Coturnix japonica: one gene and its partners. The protein of the gene in region 1 interacts with the protein of each later gene in a pairwise test. Links are inferred from orthologs where the notes say so. Each region holds a gene or a part of one and is shown in the gene's direction. Other genes may lie near its edges.

Region 1 (4,213 bases):
ACATTGTTCTGTGATTCTATTATTGCACTGTTCTCAGGAACTGCAAACTCTTTCATAAATGTACATCTAAGTTAATAAACAAAGTAATCATTGTGGCAATCTTGCAAGTTTCTTGTCTGATGGCACAGATTAACTGTTCACCAATTGTCTAACCAACATTTTCCCAAATATTTCTGTGGATATTTAACAATTTATCAGCTGGCAGAGTATCTTATCTTGTTTAATAGAAGTCTATTCTTTTTAGAGAAGTAGATACTTAGCACAGCCAACATTGAAATCTCAAGGAAAGCAAGCTGTTACTGTAGCACTGATTTTATCCTGGAAAACCCTGCAAAAACACAAAGATATGTATATATACCATTACACAAGTATATGAATATAACAAGTATATCATGTTTATCCCTTGGTTTACTTAGGAGTAACTGAAAAAGCATTATTGCAGAATCATAGAATTGTAGGGGCTAGAAGAGACCTCTAGAACTTTTCTAGTCCAACCCCCCTGCCAAAGCAGGCTCCATAGATCAGGCTGCACAGGTAAGAGTCCAGGTGGGTCTTGAACATCTCCAGAGGAGAATCCACAACCTGTCTGAGCAGCCTGGTTCAGTGCTCTGTCACCCTTACTGTGAAGTTCTTACACACATTTGTACGTAACTTCCTATGTTTCAGTTTGTGACCATTTCCCCTTGTCCTATCACCACACATTGCTGATAAGAGTCTGGCCTCATCCCTTTGCCTCCCGCACCTTAGGTATTTATAGACATTGATCAGATCCCCTCTCAGTCTATTCTCAAGGCTGAACAGACCCAGGTCACTCAGCCTTTCCTCATAAGAGAGATGCTCCAGCCCCTATATTTTCTGGAACAGTGATTAATTAGACCAAACATAGTTTAATGGAGAAGGCTGTGAGTAAGGAACCTCCCTCAAATAGTGGCATCCTTTGTTCTGATCTCTGTTCCTGGGAAGACTCCTCACACAGGGCTAATCATGCTCCTTGTGTCTTCCCTGCTAAAGGAAGACTGCGCCAGTTCTGAAAAGCCATGCTGTCTTCTTCCAGTTTTTCAGCTCCTCTTCTGTACAACTTCAGACTTGTCCCACACTTTGTTGCTGCACAAAAACAAGGCAAAAAAGGAAGCCTGACTTCAACTGCGTAACCAGTTGTGTATAATACACGGAACGAGGTTGACCACTGTAAAAGCATTACGTCACTCACGTATTTACCAAAAGGGCTGTTTCTGCCTGGGAATCGTCCTTGGTAAGAGGCAGGAGCCTTTCTTGTCAGTAGAGGGCAGCATAGGCCTCATCAGTGAATAAAACCAAGCTCATTTACGTAAAAATCATACGGATTTTCACCGTAATTGCGAATAAACCCTATCATACGCCCGTAAGTTTGCCAGAAATACACATCTTTCCCAGAATCACTGTGAATACTCTGCGTACAATGCATGCGAAAGAATAAAAGGCCGTGGCATTGCTCCCCCCGGGTCCCGCCGGCACCAGGCCGCGCTGCCCCCCCCCCCTACCCGGCCCGCTCGCAGACATGGCGGAGCGCAGCGCGGCCTGGGAGGTGGGGAGGGTTGCGCCGCATTGAGGCCCAGCGCGGAGGTAACGGGGTACGGGTCCGTATTGCTGCATATTCCCCAGCGACACAGCTTTCTCTTAACCGATATTGCTCGAGGGTGAGGCCGAGGGAGGCGGTGGGGCCTGGCGCAGTGTCCGAGCACCGCGGGATGGGTGCTGGGCGGGCCCGGTTGGGGGAAGAAGAGGCGTCAGTCAGTGTGTGACAGGTGACAGGAAGAGGGGAAATGGACTTGGATGCATTTTTACTCTGTCTTGGTTTATCAGTGGAAGTTTTCTGCACTAAGGAAAAGTGGACTATGGTTTTGAATCTGTGAAGGTGTATGGCTGGAGCAAGGCACTTACCCCAAATGATTTTGGAGAGGGCAGGTTTTTTTCCCCAAGGGTTAGCTTCTTAGTTTTAAAAATGAGACAGTGGAGATTTGGGTTAGATCTGAGGAGGAAGTTTTTCACACAGAGGGTGGTGATGCACTGGAACAGGTTTCCCAAGGCGGTTGTGGATGCCCCATCCCTGGAGGCATTCAAGGCCAGGCTGGATGTGGCTCTGGGCAGCCTGGTCTGGTGGTTGATGACCCTTCACATAGCAGGGGGGTTGAAACTACATGACCATTGTGGTCCTTTTCAACCCAGGCCATTCTATCATTCTATGATTAGTTAGCAGAAAATCTCTCACACTGGTTTGTTTGTTTGTTTTTCCCCCATGCAGTGATTTTCATTTTTAAAACCTTTGGATTCAGTACAATGTTTTGGGATGACTGTATTTCAAACCTGAGGTAGTCTGTTTTATTTATTTTTTTGTTTGTTTGTTTGTTTTCTCCTTAAAAGCAAACTGACTTACTAGATTTTTATTGATCACCATTGCTAATTCTTGTACATGCAGTGACTCATTATGCCATGTGGTCAAGTGTGAGAGATGGTAATGATTTGGCAAGAAAGTACCTCAGCAGCACAGTATTACAGAGCCTAATTGAAAATGCAAACCAGTTTCTATCTTCACTTAGAATTCAGATGGATGTTCCCATACTTTGCTGAAATTAAGCAGAATGGAAATGCCTTGTGTTACTTCTTGGAACAAGGAAGACAGCAGAAAACTGCTGACTGTTTGTTCAGCAGCATTTGCCAAATAGCATTAAATCAAGTGGGGTAGTGGTAAAATTCCAAATGTTTTAAATGTCGGATGAAAAAACAGTGTATGGCACAAAGACTGGATGAGGGATTAAAACCTTCCCTCCAGTCTGTGACCAGGCACCTTTGGGCCTACAGGGTGTTTTGTTGTTGTTGTTGTTGTTTGTTTGTTTGTTTTTTGAGGGTTTATTTTGCCAAATATTATGCAAATAGGTATCTTAAAAATGTAAAATTTCCTAAAGGCCATAGGGAAATCGTTTTATCCCCAAGGCTGGGCTTTCTCATTGTGCACTATTACACAAGGCTGCATGGGTTTGCTGTACTACAGCCCCCTCAAGTGGTAAAACATTTTCCCATTTAAAACTGCAGCCAACTCCACCACCTCACTGTTGTGCCATGCTCCAGAGAGGTGAGTAAGTTTCATTGTGTAAGCTTCATAACTAATAATGGATATTTGTAGACTACCAGCAGTTGTTTTAGACTTCTGTTTTCCTATTTGCTGAATAACTTGCTTCAATCAGTGCTTTTGCATATCTGACAGCAGAAAAAACAACAACCCCTTGGCGGCATGCAGGGTGTCTGACTGTTCCCTAGATTAGAACAAGCTTACAGAATTCCATCTACAAAACAACCAAAGAAAGTATTCATGTACCTGGGAGAAGAACATAGGCTGTAGATTTTTGGTTTTGCCATTATGCTGCAAAACATCAAAGCCCTGTTACACAGCAGAAACATCAGTGTTCAACGAATGTGTGAGTAAGAAAGAAAGAAAGGCTTACTCTGCTTAGGTTCAATGTGAACTTTGGCTAGAAAATACCCTCCAGTGTTGCCACTGCATCAGTAATTCTTTGTTTCTCCCTCTAAGAACATGGAAAACATGCAGTAGACTCAGAGTATTTACTTGTATCTGGATTCTAGAAATGTTCCTTGACATACTGACTTAATATGAAATGCTCTGCAGGATTCCCTGTGTTAAACACTCTGCCTCAACCTTTGAAGGAAGCCAGAAGTTTTAAAATGTACTGGGTTTGTGCTTGTTCTCAACATCAGCCTTGGTGATTAAAATCCAATTGCCACTTGTCTTACAGAGCAGCAGTGCAAAAACAGCATTTTTAGTTTCTCATCACACTGCCTTTTAATATGGAAGCTGAGATGAAATCTGTGATTGTCTAGGTAGTGGAATACTTTATGGTTATGGGTATGTATCACTTTTCAGCTTGAAGTATTTTAAGGTCTTTTGAAAACTGGGTACACACAGCAAAGCAGTGCCGTGCTGTGTGTACAATGCTTTCTCTTCAGAAACCCTTCTTCTCATTTGTCATTGATGAAGGCATACTTATTACTTTTACTTGGTTGTTTCCCTGCTGGTTGTTTCTTGTGTTTCTACTTGCAGATAATGAATATCCCACTCCGCTGAAGATGTTAATTACAGATTTCAATTCTGGTCTTGTCATGTGTTTTGATGACTTTTTTTCCTTTCACACAGTTCTGCTGAGTAAGAGGGTCACCCAGT
Region 2 (3,562 bases), on another chromosome or scaffold:
TGTTCTACTTCCCACGCTGCCAGGGCTTCACGAGCGTGCCGAGCCGTGGGGGCTGCACGCTGGGGATGGTGAGCAAACACAGCTCATCCCGACAGTTCACATTAGCAGAGTTTTCCAAGGAGCAAGAAAACGTTCGTCGGGAGAAACTGGAAGAGAAATTGAAAGAGGAGAAGTTGGAAGCTTTGAAATGGAAAGTAAGTGGCTGGATTGGGGGTGTCTTTTCTTATGAAGGTCTTTTCTTTGTGTTGGTCTTTCCAAGTCCTTGGGGCATTGATTCAGAACCTTCTGTGGGTCTCTGAGAAACATTGGTCAGTTCTCTGCCTTGAAAGAAGTGATGCTCAGCTCCCCTAGCAGGTGTTCACCAGGTGTTAATGTGGGACCTGAGTGAGATGCTGTGCACCCCATGGTCTATGGGCTCTCAGGGTTCTTTCTGGAGGCTCTGAGACAGATATTGGTTATGGAGGTGGCCACCACTGGGGCAAGTCAGGAATTGTCTGGACAGTGCTCTCAGAAGTATGGTCTGATGTTTGGGTGGTCCTCTGTGGAGCCAGGAGTTGGACTTGATGATCCTTATGGGTCCCTTCCAACTTGGATTATTCTATGATTCATTTATTGGAACAGGCTGCCCAGGGAGGTGGTGGAGTCACCATCCCTGAAGTTGTTCAGGAAACATGGAGATATGGCACTGAGGGACGTGGTTGGTGGGCATGGTGGGGATGAGTTGGGGTTGGACTAGATGACCTTAGTGGTCTTTTCCAATCTGTATGATTCTGTGATTTGTCCTGACTTGAGGTGTTGACGGTCACAGCTTGGTGTCCCTGACAGCTTTGTAACACCTTGCCTATCTTTTGCCCTCAGCTCACCATGAATGGCACAAAGGAATCAGAGGAAGCCAACCAGCTCACTATTGAAGACATCTCCGACGATGACATCGACATCAGCAACGTGGACCTGGAGGATGGCTTCTTCCTCCAGCCCTACCCAGCCAAGAAGAGGCGTGCGCTGCTCAAAGCTGTTGGGGTGAAGAAGATTGACAAGGAGGAGAAGCGGGAGCTGCACAGCATCCGCCTGTCCCGGGAGGACTGTGGCTGTGACTGTCAGGAGGTCTGCGATCCCGAGACCTGCAGCTGCAGCTTGGCAGGCATTAAGTGCCAGGTACTGCCCTGTCTCATGCATCTCCTCAAGGTGAAGTGGGAAAAGCTCTTGGAGATGCTGCTGGAAAGCATCCTCCTCCCAAATCGCTCATCCCATGGGGACGTGCAGGTGCACCCACAGGGTGAATGGCAGAAGGAGACGGACTGTGTGGGATGTCTTGGCAAAGAGAAGCTCTTTGCTCCTCCCACAAGGCTCCAATTTCTCCTCCTCCCTTGGTTTTATTTTTATTCTCCCTCTTGGTGTGTATCCCAACTCCCAGCACACGTGGGAGCATCAGTGTCAGCTCTCCAGGCCCACCTGCATATCACAGGGTAACCTCTGTAGCTGCACTTAGTTACCTTTATTCACTTCTTTTTTTACTTTATGTTTTCTGAGGTGGCTGCCCTGCTGTGTTTGGGGGGAGCATTCACTACTGAGGGAGCTGCTCACTTGCTCTGTGCTGTGGTTGCAGGCTGGGTGGTGTAGGGGGTGTGTGTGTGTGTGCAGTTGGATGTTCACAAGCAGATGGATGTGCTCAGGAGGACTCATGCTCCATGTGCATGTCACAGCCCCCCTCTAGTGGCTGCTCACAGCTGGGACGTAAAAGTGCCGCAGATACCAGTGGAGCAGTTTGTCCTTTATCCCGCAGAGAGGCAGAAGCTTGTGATATAGATCAGATATTAAATATCATGGTGCAATACACAAAAATTCACATTTGCCTACTTTTGGCGTATTACATTTTGCTTTTTTTGTGGTTGTTTTTTTTTTTTTTTTTTTTAACCCTTTGACTTTATTCAGTTGTACTGAAATTCACCTTTTTTAAGACAACTCTTCCAAAAAGCAGGTTGTGAGGGGTTTTTTGGTAACTTGTATTTTTTGGCTTGCTTTTAAACCCCTCACCCAATGCTGCAAGGTGATGTGTGAGCTTCTGGGGGTGAATTGAGGTGGTTTGGGCTTCGGGTGAGGGTCCTTACCCCTGTGTCCTTTTCCCCCTAGATGGACCACACTTCCTTCCCCTGTGGCTGTACCAAGGACGGCTGCGGCAACACGGAAGGCAGGATTGAGTTCAACCAGGCCCGGGTGCAGACCCACTTCATCCACACCATCATGAAGCTGGAACTGGAGAAGCAGCACCAGAGCAGTGAAGGGGTGGCAGAGGTTGAACCTCCCTTCCGGGAGCGGTTGCCTCAGCTGGGCTGCGCAGCGGCAAAGGGGCCCTTGGAGGAACGCACGGCACCGCTGGCCCCCACCTTCCAGTTCAGCCCTGAGTTGGAAGCCCTGGGGGAGAACAGCTGTAGCAGTGACATGACGGACTCCTCTATCTCCTCCCACCCCAGCGAGGACCTGGAGGAACCCTACGAGAGCCTCCCCTCTGACAAGTCCCAGTCGGACGTTGATGATGATGGCTTGGCACGCATCCTCCACTTCAACGATTCAGATGCCGAGGAGGAGGGAGACCACTGCCAGGACAACCTGAGCTGTTTCCACCCCGCCGACTTCTTTATTGAGGACCATGGCTGTGAGGCCAAGCCTGGCCCTGGGGCCTCATCCCACCTCTCTGAGTGCCTGGACGAGAATGCCAACCAGGACAGTGGTGGGCTGCTGGAGGAGGCCATGCACTCGCGCTGTGATGGGGTGTCATGCTGCGCCCCAGCCCTGGCTGAGTCGTGTTCCAAGAGCTATGCCGACCTCAGCCTTTCCTCTGACTCCTTGGATTTCTTCCAGTCTTTCTCAGACTATAACTTGGGACCCCTTTACAACTCCTTGAAGGAGTACGAGAACCTTGATAACTTCTCAGCGTTACAGTTTCAGTTGCCTAATTTCCCCGGTTTCCCGCAAGCTGGAGATCAGGGCTCCTGTTTCTTGGAGTCTCTCATTGGTTTATCTGAATCCGTCCCTGAAACCCCAGCCCCTTTCACAGACAATCAGCTTTTGGAGGATGCCATCAAGTCATCGCTGATGGAAACGGTGAAGGTGTGAAGCGCCCGTCAGGCTGGGGAATGCGAAGGACTGGCAGCGTTGTGGTGCTGAAACCAAAGCCGAACAACAGTGGGACGGGCAGACTTTCACTTGTGCTATGTGAAAAGGGTAAAGGAAAAGAATTAATAATAATCAGACTTTCTGAGCAGACAAACTATTTTTGGTCTTTATAGAATGTGGACGTTTTGACATACTGCAGCTACAATCAGTTCTCTTGCTGTTTGTGCAAAGATTTCTAAACTTTCATGATGGGGTTGGGAGGGGGGTGAGGGGAGGGAGGGATGAAGACTTTCAGATATGACTTTCCTTGTGTTTTGTATGCAAAGACCTGTTGAGAAATGCTCCTTGAGAATGTTGCCAGTCGTACACAACAGCCCCTTCTAGAACCGTTTCGGTGTCGCGGGAACTTTTTAAGACAACTTTTGAAGCTGTATTTATTGTGAAAACT
Region 3 (3,562 bases), about 27 Mb from region 1:
TGGGCTACTGTATGTTTTCTTCTGCATATCAGAGCCATTCGTGTAACAATGCTCATATAATGGCTGCTTCTGGATGAAAAAGAAGAGCTACCAGAATAAATACATATTTTTTTTCTTTCAGCTGCTGGTGGAAAACTGCAGAAAGCTTTTTTTCTGGTAAAGAAAGCAGTAAATAACAAGGGTGTATTTTTATGTATCTATATTATTGAAATATTCAGATGTTTACAAAGCATTGCTATGCTAATGCTTGCATTAATCACATAAAAAAGCCTCCTTAATTAGAGGTGAAAATGTACAGATGCTTGCAGAAATCATTTAGTCTTTCTATTCACACCTTCAGTAACTTGACTTTCTGCTTGTGTATAGACAGTCCTGAGGTTCCTAGGTGGTCTTATCAGAAGTTTTCAAACTACCAATAATCCTATAGTGTGTTAGAGGCACAGAAAGCAAATTGGAGAAGGAGCTGGCAGACATGGCTCTTAATTCACATCCGTTGTATATGAGTAGTAGGTGCTGCTACCTCTGAGTATCAGAAGATGTTTACTGGGCAAATATAGTGATGAAGGAATAGCAAATATTTCTTTTATAGAACCTTAATATAGACATGAATGTCAAGTATTGTAAGATTTGAGAGTTTATATTACTGTAAGTTGTAACACATGCCTCTGTGAGGTATGGGTATAAGGAAAAGTCATTTTCTTCTATATTGTAGTTAGTCTCTCTGTCCCATACTTATTTTCAAACTGGATTTATAGTTAATCATAGAATCATTAAGGTTGGAAAAGACCTCTAAGATTCAGTCCAGCTGTCTACCTACCACCGATACTGCCTACTAAACCATGTCTCTGAGTTCTACATGTACTGTTTTCTTAAGCATCTCCAGTGATGGTTATTCCAACACTTCCCTGGGCAACCTGTTCCAATGCTTTAACTAAATGCTTTTGGAGTATAAATTATTTTTAATATCTAATCTGAAACTTCCCTGGTGTAGCTTGAGGCCGTGCCCTCTCATCCTATCACTAGTTACATGGGAGAAGAGGCCGATGCCCACCTCTCCACACTCTCCTTTCAGGTAGCTGTAGAGAGCAATAAAGTGTTCCACGAGTCTCCTCCAGTCTAAACAATCCCAGTTCCTCTCCCCAGCTGCATCTCATAAGACTTGTTCTCCAGACCCAGCTTTGTTGCCCTTTTATGGACCAGGGTCTTGATATCTTCCTTGTAGTGAGGGTCCCCAAACTGAACACAGTACGAGGCACAACCTTACCAGAGCTGAGTACAGGGGACAGTCATCTCCATGCTCCTGCTGGTTGCACCGTTTCTGATACAGACCAGGATGCTGTTGGCTTTCTTGACCACCTGAGCACACTGATGGCTCATGTTCAGATGAGCTTCAACCAACATCCTCAGATTCTTTTCCACTATACAGCTTTTCAGCCACACCACCCCAAGCTTGTAGTTCAGGACCTGACACTTAATACTGTTGAATTCATCCCATTGGCCTCAGCTCATCAATCTAGCCTATCTGAGTCCCTCCGTGGGCTTTCCTACCCTCAGACAGATGAACACATTCCATGAGCTTGTTGTCATTTGTAGTGCACTCAATTTTCTGCATCCAAATCATCAATAAAGGTATTAAACAGGATAGGCCTTAATATCAACCCCTGGGGAACACCACTCGTGAATGGTCAGTAGTTGGATTTAACTCCATTTGCTGCCGTTCTCTTGGCCTAGACATCCAGGCAGATTTTTTTACCCAACAGAGAATGTACCTGTCCAAGCCGTGGGCTGCCGGCTTCTCCAGGGGAATACCATGGAAGACAGTGTTGAAGGCTTTAATGGAGTCTAGGTAGACCACATCAACAGCCTTTCCCTCATCCACCTGGTAGGTCACCTGGTCATAAAAGTAGGTGAGATTGGTAAACCAGAAACTACCGTTTGTAAACTCATGCTGGCTGAGCCTGATCTCCTTCTGGTTGACCATGACCGGCTGTGTGATTGCATTCAAGATGGTCTGTTTCGTAACTTTCCTTGATGCCTAGGTCTGGCTGATAGGCCTATAGTTCCACAGATTCTCCTTACAAATCTTAGTGATAGGCATCACATTCATGAGTCTCCAGTCATCTGAGACTTCCCTTCTTGACCAGAACCACTGAGAGTGGAAAGTAGCTTAGCAATTACCTCTGCCACCTCCCTCAGCACCTCAGGTGAATTCCATCTGGCCCCAGATAACATGGAAGAATAATGCAAAAGTTTGTTTACTCTGTTGTTTTGGTGGGGAGGGGGGATGTTTCTTGAAAGGAACTATGTCTGATATTTAAGCTGTCCCATTCTGTTCTAATGACTGGTAGCAATACATATCTTGCAGAAGGCTTCATGAATGATTATTGGTTCATATTTCTGGTCTATATTTTTGCCCAATATTGTTTTTAAAAGTTTATTTCCATAAAGCAGGTTATATGCAGGCTAGAGATAGAATCGTAGAATCACCAAGGTTGGAAAAGACCTAAAAGATCATCCAGTCCAACCGTTCACCTATTACTAATAGCTCCCACTAAACCATGTCCCTCAACACAATATCCAGTCTTTCCTTGAACACCCCCAGGGTTGGTGACTCCACCATCTCCCTGGGCAGTCCATTCCAGTGCCTGACCACCCTTTCTGAGAAGTAATACCTCCTAATGTCCAGCCTGAATCTCCCCTTCCATAGCTTGAAACCATTCCTTCTGGTCCTATCACTAATGACACAAGAGATGATTTATGATGTTGATCATTTCAGTGATAGCTCTCAAGACCAAGTCTTGATTGTTGCTAGGAGCTCTCTCTCATTCCCTTTCTTTTGGAAATGAGTGAATGTACGTGTTTTAGTCTTCCCCTGTGTAGGAATGTGAATTCATTTCATTGATGTGGTTGGCTGCTCTTCTTCAAGATGGCTTTCACACTGTATATCAATGAGCACACAGAACTGAGGATCTCTAGTTTTGCAAAGATAGTTGTAGCTGTACTACCTCCAATAATAGGGAAATTTGGTGCTGTAAGTCAGGAGACCACTCCTAGTCAGGAACAGCAGTGTCACTTTCCTCCTGAAGTCTAGACTTGCTTTGAGAGATTGGGGTAGTATATATTTGTATTCTATTATCTGAAAGTGTTTCTAAGTATTCATAGCATCTTTCTGTTCTTTTTTTTGTTTGTTTTTTGTTTGTTTTTCTTTTCCCCGTCTTTTCCTCCTTGTTGATGCTCAAAGGTCCGGCACCCAGTAATCTGTGTCAACAACCATGTCTTCTGTTCCATTTGTATTGAAGTCTGGTTGAAGAACAATAATCAGTGTCCAGCTTGCAGGATTCCCATCACACCTGAAAATCCTTGCAAGGAAATTATAGGTAAGGACAATTTGAGGCTTTGAAATAACTTTTTAGTGTTTACTGCTGGAGAAGATTCTTTTGTTTCCAAAGATATCTGAGTGTTTTTTCCATCAAAGCATGATCTAGCTGGAAGTATGCATAGTAACTATAAGATAAATATTGCAAAGACCGTGTATAATAACAAATTGATTATTGTAAGGCAG
Region 4 (4,176 bases), on another chromosome or scaffold:
AAGGACTGCATACTTTAAACGGTAAGTGGGGCACAAAACCTCTGACACTCAAAACAAGCACAAGTGCAGCTGGTACTAAAGAAATAAAGAGACAGTTATATTGAAACAGAGTGAACTGTAAATATCCATACTGTAATGGAGGCCACTTCCTTTTGCATCAACGTTAAGCTTCTGCAGATAGACTTCAGTACTAGCAAGCCCATAACAGATACAATAAAAATCTAGAATTTGGGGGGGTATTTAAGAGGGCAGAACATAATGTGACAATTCATTTTGGAACATTTACCAAAACTAACAAGTTATGTCTCTTTTTGATCTGCTTGATTTTGCAGAGCGAGCTCATGAGTGGCAAGTGTTTTATATTACATGAACTGTCACTGACAGCTGCCTCGGACCATCAGATGACACTTCACAGTGATAGAAACACTCAGAAATGTAATAAAATGGTTTAGTTAAATGCCCTAAGAAGAGCAGTATCCCTACACACAGCGTTCCCCAGACTCACACCCTCCTTAAGGTATAATTTTATTTTTCTTATTTTTATTCTTTCGTATTTCTCATAGGCATTAGACTACGGGACTCATCATACTTAAATTGAAGTTACTGTCAAAAGCCAGAGGATCTGATGTTTTTGAACACCCCCAGCAGCTGGCAACTGTAGAGACTGGCAACTGTGGAGACGAAGCCCTACTGACAACCCCAGTTCAGGGTCTAAAATCATGCCCTGCTCAGGTTACAGCCCGCAGCAGCAGTTTTGGGGAGAAGGGCCTCGGGGAGGGGGGCGGGGGGCGAACAAGCCGCCTTTTGTTTTTAGGAGGACAACGTTCCCCTTCCCCCGGCTCTCGGCTCCTCCGCCCGTGACCCGGCCGCGCTCTCCCGCCCCTGTGCTCGCACCTCCCGTCTGCTAGGCCCCGGCCCCGCGCTAGGCCTCTCCTACCGGCCCGGCCATCGCAGCGGCGCGGCGGCTCCGTTCCCCCGGCTGCGGGCCGGAGCCTGTTCCCTTCCCCACCTCTCGGGCCTTACAAGGCACCGCGGGCCGGGCGGGAGCCGCGCGGGGCAGCGCGGCCTGCGGCGGCGGCCGAAGCCTGGGCTGGAGTAGCTCCCCCCCCACCTTCCCTGCCCTGCTCCTCCTCCTCCCGGGCCCGGCGGCCGGCGCGGCGGTACCTGGTAGGGCTGCGAGTCCCCCCTGCGGTCGTGACAGCTGCGGAGAAGGCGAGAGAAAGAGAGAGAGAGGCGTTAGTGAGGGCCGTTACCGGGCGCCGGGAAGGGGCCCAAACATGGCGGAGGCGGGGGGAGAGCCGCGGGGCCGAGGAGGGGATTTACCCATCACTGAGTCTCTGCTGTTTCCTCGCATACATTACCATCAATGCCCGGCCTGTGTGTGTGAGTGTGAGGGGACCAGGAAGGGACGGCCGCGGCCGGGCCTACGGGCGCCGAGGGGGGAGGAGGGGAGCGGCGCTCCGCCTCGCCGCCGACCGGGGGCAGGGAGGGGGCAGGGAGGGAGGGGGCGGCTCGGCAGCTGTGCTGGGAGCGGCGCTCACGGGCCCATCTCCGCCGCGCGCAGCCTGAGGGGAGACGCCGGCAGCTCGGCCCCGCTGAGGCGCTCCGGGAGCGCGGACTCCGTCGCTGCCGCCGCTGCCGCCTCCTCCCCCCGCTGCGCCCGCCGCCGCCGTCGCCGCTCCTCCAACTACATCCGGGAAACTCGGGCGACGCCGCGCTCGGTTAACGTCGGCTCTTTTCGGCTCTTTCCGACGCGCTCCGTCCCCTCTGTCCCCTTTGCTCTCGGGCGACTCTGCCTTCGGCAAACATCGGCAGTCTCCGCCGAGCCCAACGCCCTTCAGTCTCTCCCTTCGGCAAACATCGGCTCGTTCCGTAGCTCTCCCCCCCCCTCCGGCCGGCCCGCCTCGTCCTCCACTCCCGAACGCTACCTGTCTTCGGAAAACATCGGTTATTTCCGTAGAGAGGCTTTCACGCTCTCGTCGGGGTGACGCCGCCTTCGGAACCGTTCGGCTATTTCCGTGACCTGCGCGGCCGTTGGCGGGGCGCGGCCGATTGGCCGAGGGGAGCGAGCGGGGGCGGCAGCGGCAGGCAGGTGGGGGCGATGGGGGGGGACCGCGAAAGGAGCCGAGGTGGTGCGGGGGGGATAGGAAAGGGAAGGTCTCCCCTCACTCACCTCCCCCCTCCCCTTCCGCCCGGCGCCTTGATGTATAGGCAGGAGCCATTTTGTGTACGTTGGGTTCGGCGAGAGGCGCTCGGTAGGGAGTGGTTGTTAAAATGTCCCTGGGGAAGCGGCTGGCCGGGCCGCGTCCCTCCTTCCCTCTCAGCTCCCCCTGAGGCGATGGCGGAGCTCGGGCCGCCTCACGCGTGGAGGGAGCGGGTGAGCGGGACGGGCAGCGCTGCCCTGAGGAGCTGGGAGTGATCCAGCCCTGCTGGGTTGGATGGGCCCACGGGCAGCATGAGCTGCTGGGTGGGTGCTCTGCCCACGGCATGGTGTTGGGACTGATAGCCTTGAAGGGCCCCAAACCATGCAATGATACAGAGCCTGAATCTTGTCCTGCCTCCTTAATGAAAAGGGAAGTGACAAGCCCCCCTCAGAACTGGCCTGTAGCAGTACATCTTTCCCCACAATGCTGTGTTTAAACATAGCATCACACTATAACTATAGTTTTTCTCTCTGTTCTTGTTTTTGTGTTAACGTGCAGAAGGCTGCAGCTGAGAGGACACCTCAGGAAGCTCACGGACAGACAGGAGCAGAGGATGACCCAGCAGGGAGCTGTTCTTCAGGGTTACAACAATGAGCTCGTTAAGTGTATTGAAGACTTGTGTATGCAAAAAGAGGAGCTGAACAAACAGATCCAGCAAGCAGAAGAGGAGAAAAGCAGACTCCAGCATGAAATTCAAACCCTCAATGAACAGTTGGAGGGGGTGTGTGAAAACCTGGCTCAGAAGGTAGCTTCGCGGAACGAGCTCGATAAAATTCTTGCTGAAACTGAAGCTGCTTACATGAAGATTTTGGATAGTTCCAGAACTTTGCTTAGTGTCCTGAAGAAGGAAGTGGGAAGCTTAAAGCGTCCGCCAGAACTGAAAAGTAATGTAACCTGAAGCTGTTAAATGTCTGCACTTCCCAGTTCTAAAATTCCACTAGGTGAGAAGCGGTCAGACACAGCACCCTGTGACAGCACTATGAGCTGAGGGGCCTTTCTTCCAACCTTTCCACTTTCCCATAATTTTTAAATGCGTTAGAAACACTGTAGATAAAACAGATGAAATAAAGTTGCCGTTTTCTTATTAAAGAAAGTTCATAATTGCTCTTAAATCACAGCAAAACTAAACTGCAGATATGTAGCTGTCAGTTTGGACATAGTTATGCTTCAAGGCTCTTCTGAAAGACAGGAAAAATGTTTTATTGGCTGGATTTTGGCTGGTTACTGTGGAATGGCTGTTTGATAGAATGTTACTTGAAATCTGGACAGAATGCTCGCATTTTTTCCATTGCTCTTTTACCCAAAGCTGTGTTCATGGCTTCTCTGAAATCCTGCTGTCTTTCTCCCATATCCTTTTTTTCCCCTTACCTACATGTGTAGACAGAAAAGCACTGTAGAACTAATGGATGCAAGTAGCTTATACTTGTTGCTTGACTTTTAGGGACCAAGTAGGAATTAGTTTTTTAGCCTTCTTAAGGAGTCTGGACTTCTCTCCGTGATCCACGTGCAGCCCCTGTTGACAATCATCTTTCACTTAGCTGGAATTTTGGAGGAATAATTTGAGAAAATGTGATTTAAGCAGGGTATGAAAGATTAACCTCACAGACTGTGTCAGGTTTGTGTATCTTCTGAAGCTGTACTCTAAAGCCTTGAGTAGAAAGGAGTTATGCTATGGTGAGAGATGGATTTGAGTGCAAGTGGGAGGCATGACCTTGCAGGGCACAGTGCTGCAGGGAGCTGTACAATATAAATGAGGGCCATCTAATATTGCAATAAGGCTGGAAAGAATAGTGAACAACCTAGAATGGAGGGAAATAAATGCATGTGAGAGGTCAGAATTGAATTAGTAGTAAACATGCAGCTGCTCGACATTCTTGTAGGTGAGATTTAAATAGAACCCAAGTAGGAGAATGGAGAGGATGTAAGAATATAGCAGAAATCTCAGTCTCGTTTCCTATTTCTGGTAGTTAGT

Evidence for each region.
Region 2: the proteins of TCEANC (region 1) and CSRNP1 interact in binary tests that used the Homo sapiens proteins (3 or more experiments, as listed by UniProt). The two-hybrid records come from large-scale screens. The link is inferred for Coturnix japonica from reciprocal best matches to the Homo sapiens genes TCEANC and CSRNP1.
Region 3: the proteins of TCEANC (region 1) and OBI1 interact in binary tests that used the Homo sapiens proteins (3 or more experiments, as listed by UniProt). The two-hybrid records come from large-scale screens. The link is inferred for Coturnix japonica from reciprocal best matches to the Homo sapiens genes TCEANC and OBI1.
Region 4: the proteins of TCEANC (region 1) and Sjoegren syndrome nuclear autoantigen 1 homolog interact in binary tests that used the Homo sapiens proteins (3 or more experiments, as listed by UniProt). The two-hybrid records come from large-scale screens. The link is inferred for Coturnix japonica from reciprocal best matches to the Homo sapiens genes TCEANC and SSNA1.

The regions. Positions count from the first base shown.
Region 1 is NC_029516.1:110,838,890-110,843,102, reverse strand, and holds the start of TCEANC (transcription elongation factor A N-terminal and central domain-containing protein), read left to right. Parts: upstream 1-1,362; 5' UTR 1,363-1,381; exon of another isoform or gene 1,382-1,476; intron 1,477-1,493; exon of another isoform or gene 1,494-1,616; intron 1,617-2,136; exon of another isoform or gene 2,137-3,109; intron 3,110-4,186; 5' UTR 4,187-4,213.
Region 2 is NC_029517.1:4,630,992-4,634,553, forward strand, and holds part of CSRNP1 (cysteine/serine-rich nuclear protein 1), read left to right. Parts: coding exon 1-194; intron 195-858; coding exon 859-1,155; intron 1,156-2,130; coding exon 2,131-3,114; 3' UTR 3,115-3,562. UniProt on the Homo sapiens protein: Binds to the consensus sequence 5'-AGAGTG-3' and has transcriptional activator activity. May have a tumor-suppressor function. May play a role in apoptosis.
Region 3 is NC_029516.1:137,629,578-137,633,139, forward strand, and holds part of OBI1 (ORC ubiquitin ligase 1), read left to right. Parts: intron 1-3,241; coding exon 3,242-3,377; intron 3,378-3,562. UniProt on the Homo sapiens protein: E3 ubiquitin ligase essential for DNA replication origin activation during S phase.
Region 4 is NC_029517.1:13,930,539-13,934,714, forward strand, and holds the start of Sjoegren syndrome nuclear autoantigen 1 homolog, read left to right. Parts: upstream 1-1,317; 5' UTR 1,318-1,323; coding exon of another isoform or gene 1,324-1,364; 5' UTR 1,365-1,366; coding exon 1,367-1,383; exon of another isoform or gene 1,384-1,479; intron 1,480-1,928; coding exon of another isoform or gene 1,929-1,945; exon of another isoform or gene 1,946-2,088; intron 2,089-2,110; exon of another isoform or gene 2,111-2,255; intron 2,256-2,287; exon of another isoform or gene 2,288-2,377; intron 2,378-2,702; coding exon 2,703-3,102; 3' UTR 3,103-3,145; exon of another isoform or gene 3,146-3,316; intron 3,317-4,176. Other genes in the region: WAC (WW domain-containing adapter protein with coiled-coil), read right to left, coding at 1,165-1,201, 1,324-1,364. UniProt on the Homo sapiens protein: Microtubule-binding protein which stabilizes dynamic microtubules by slowing growth and shrinkage at both plus and minus ends and serves as a sensor of microtubule damage, protecting microtubules from the microtubule-severing enzyme SPAST.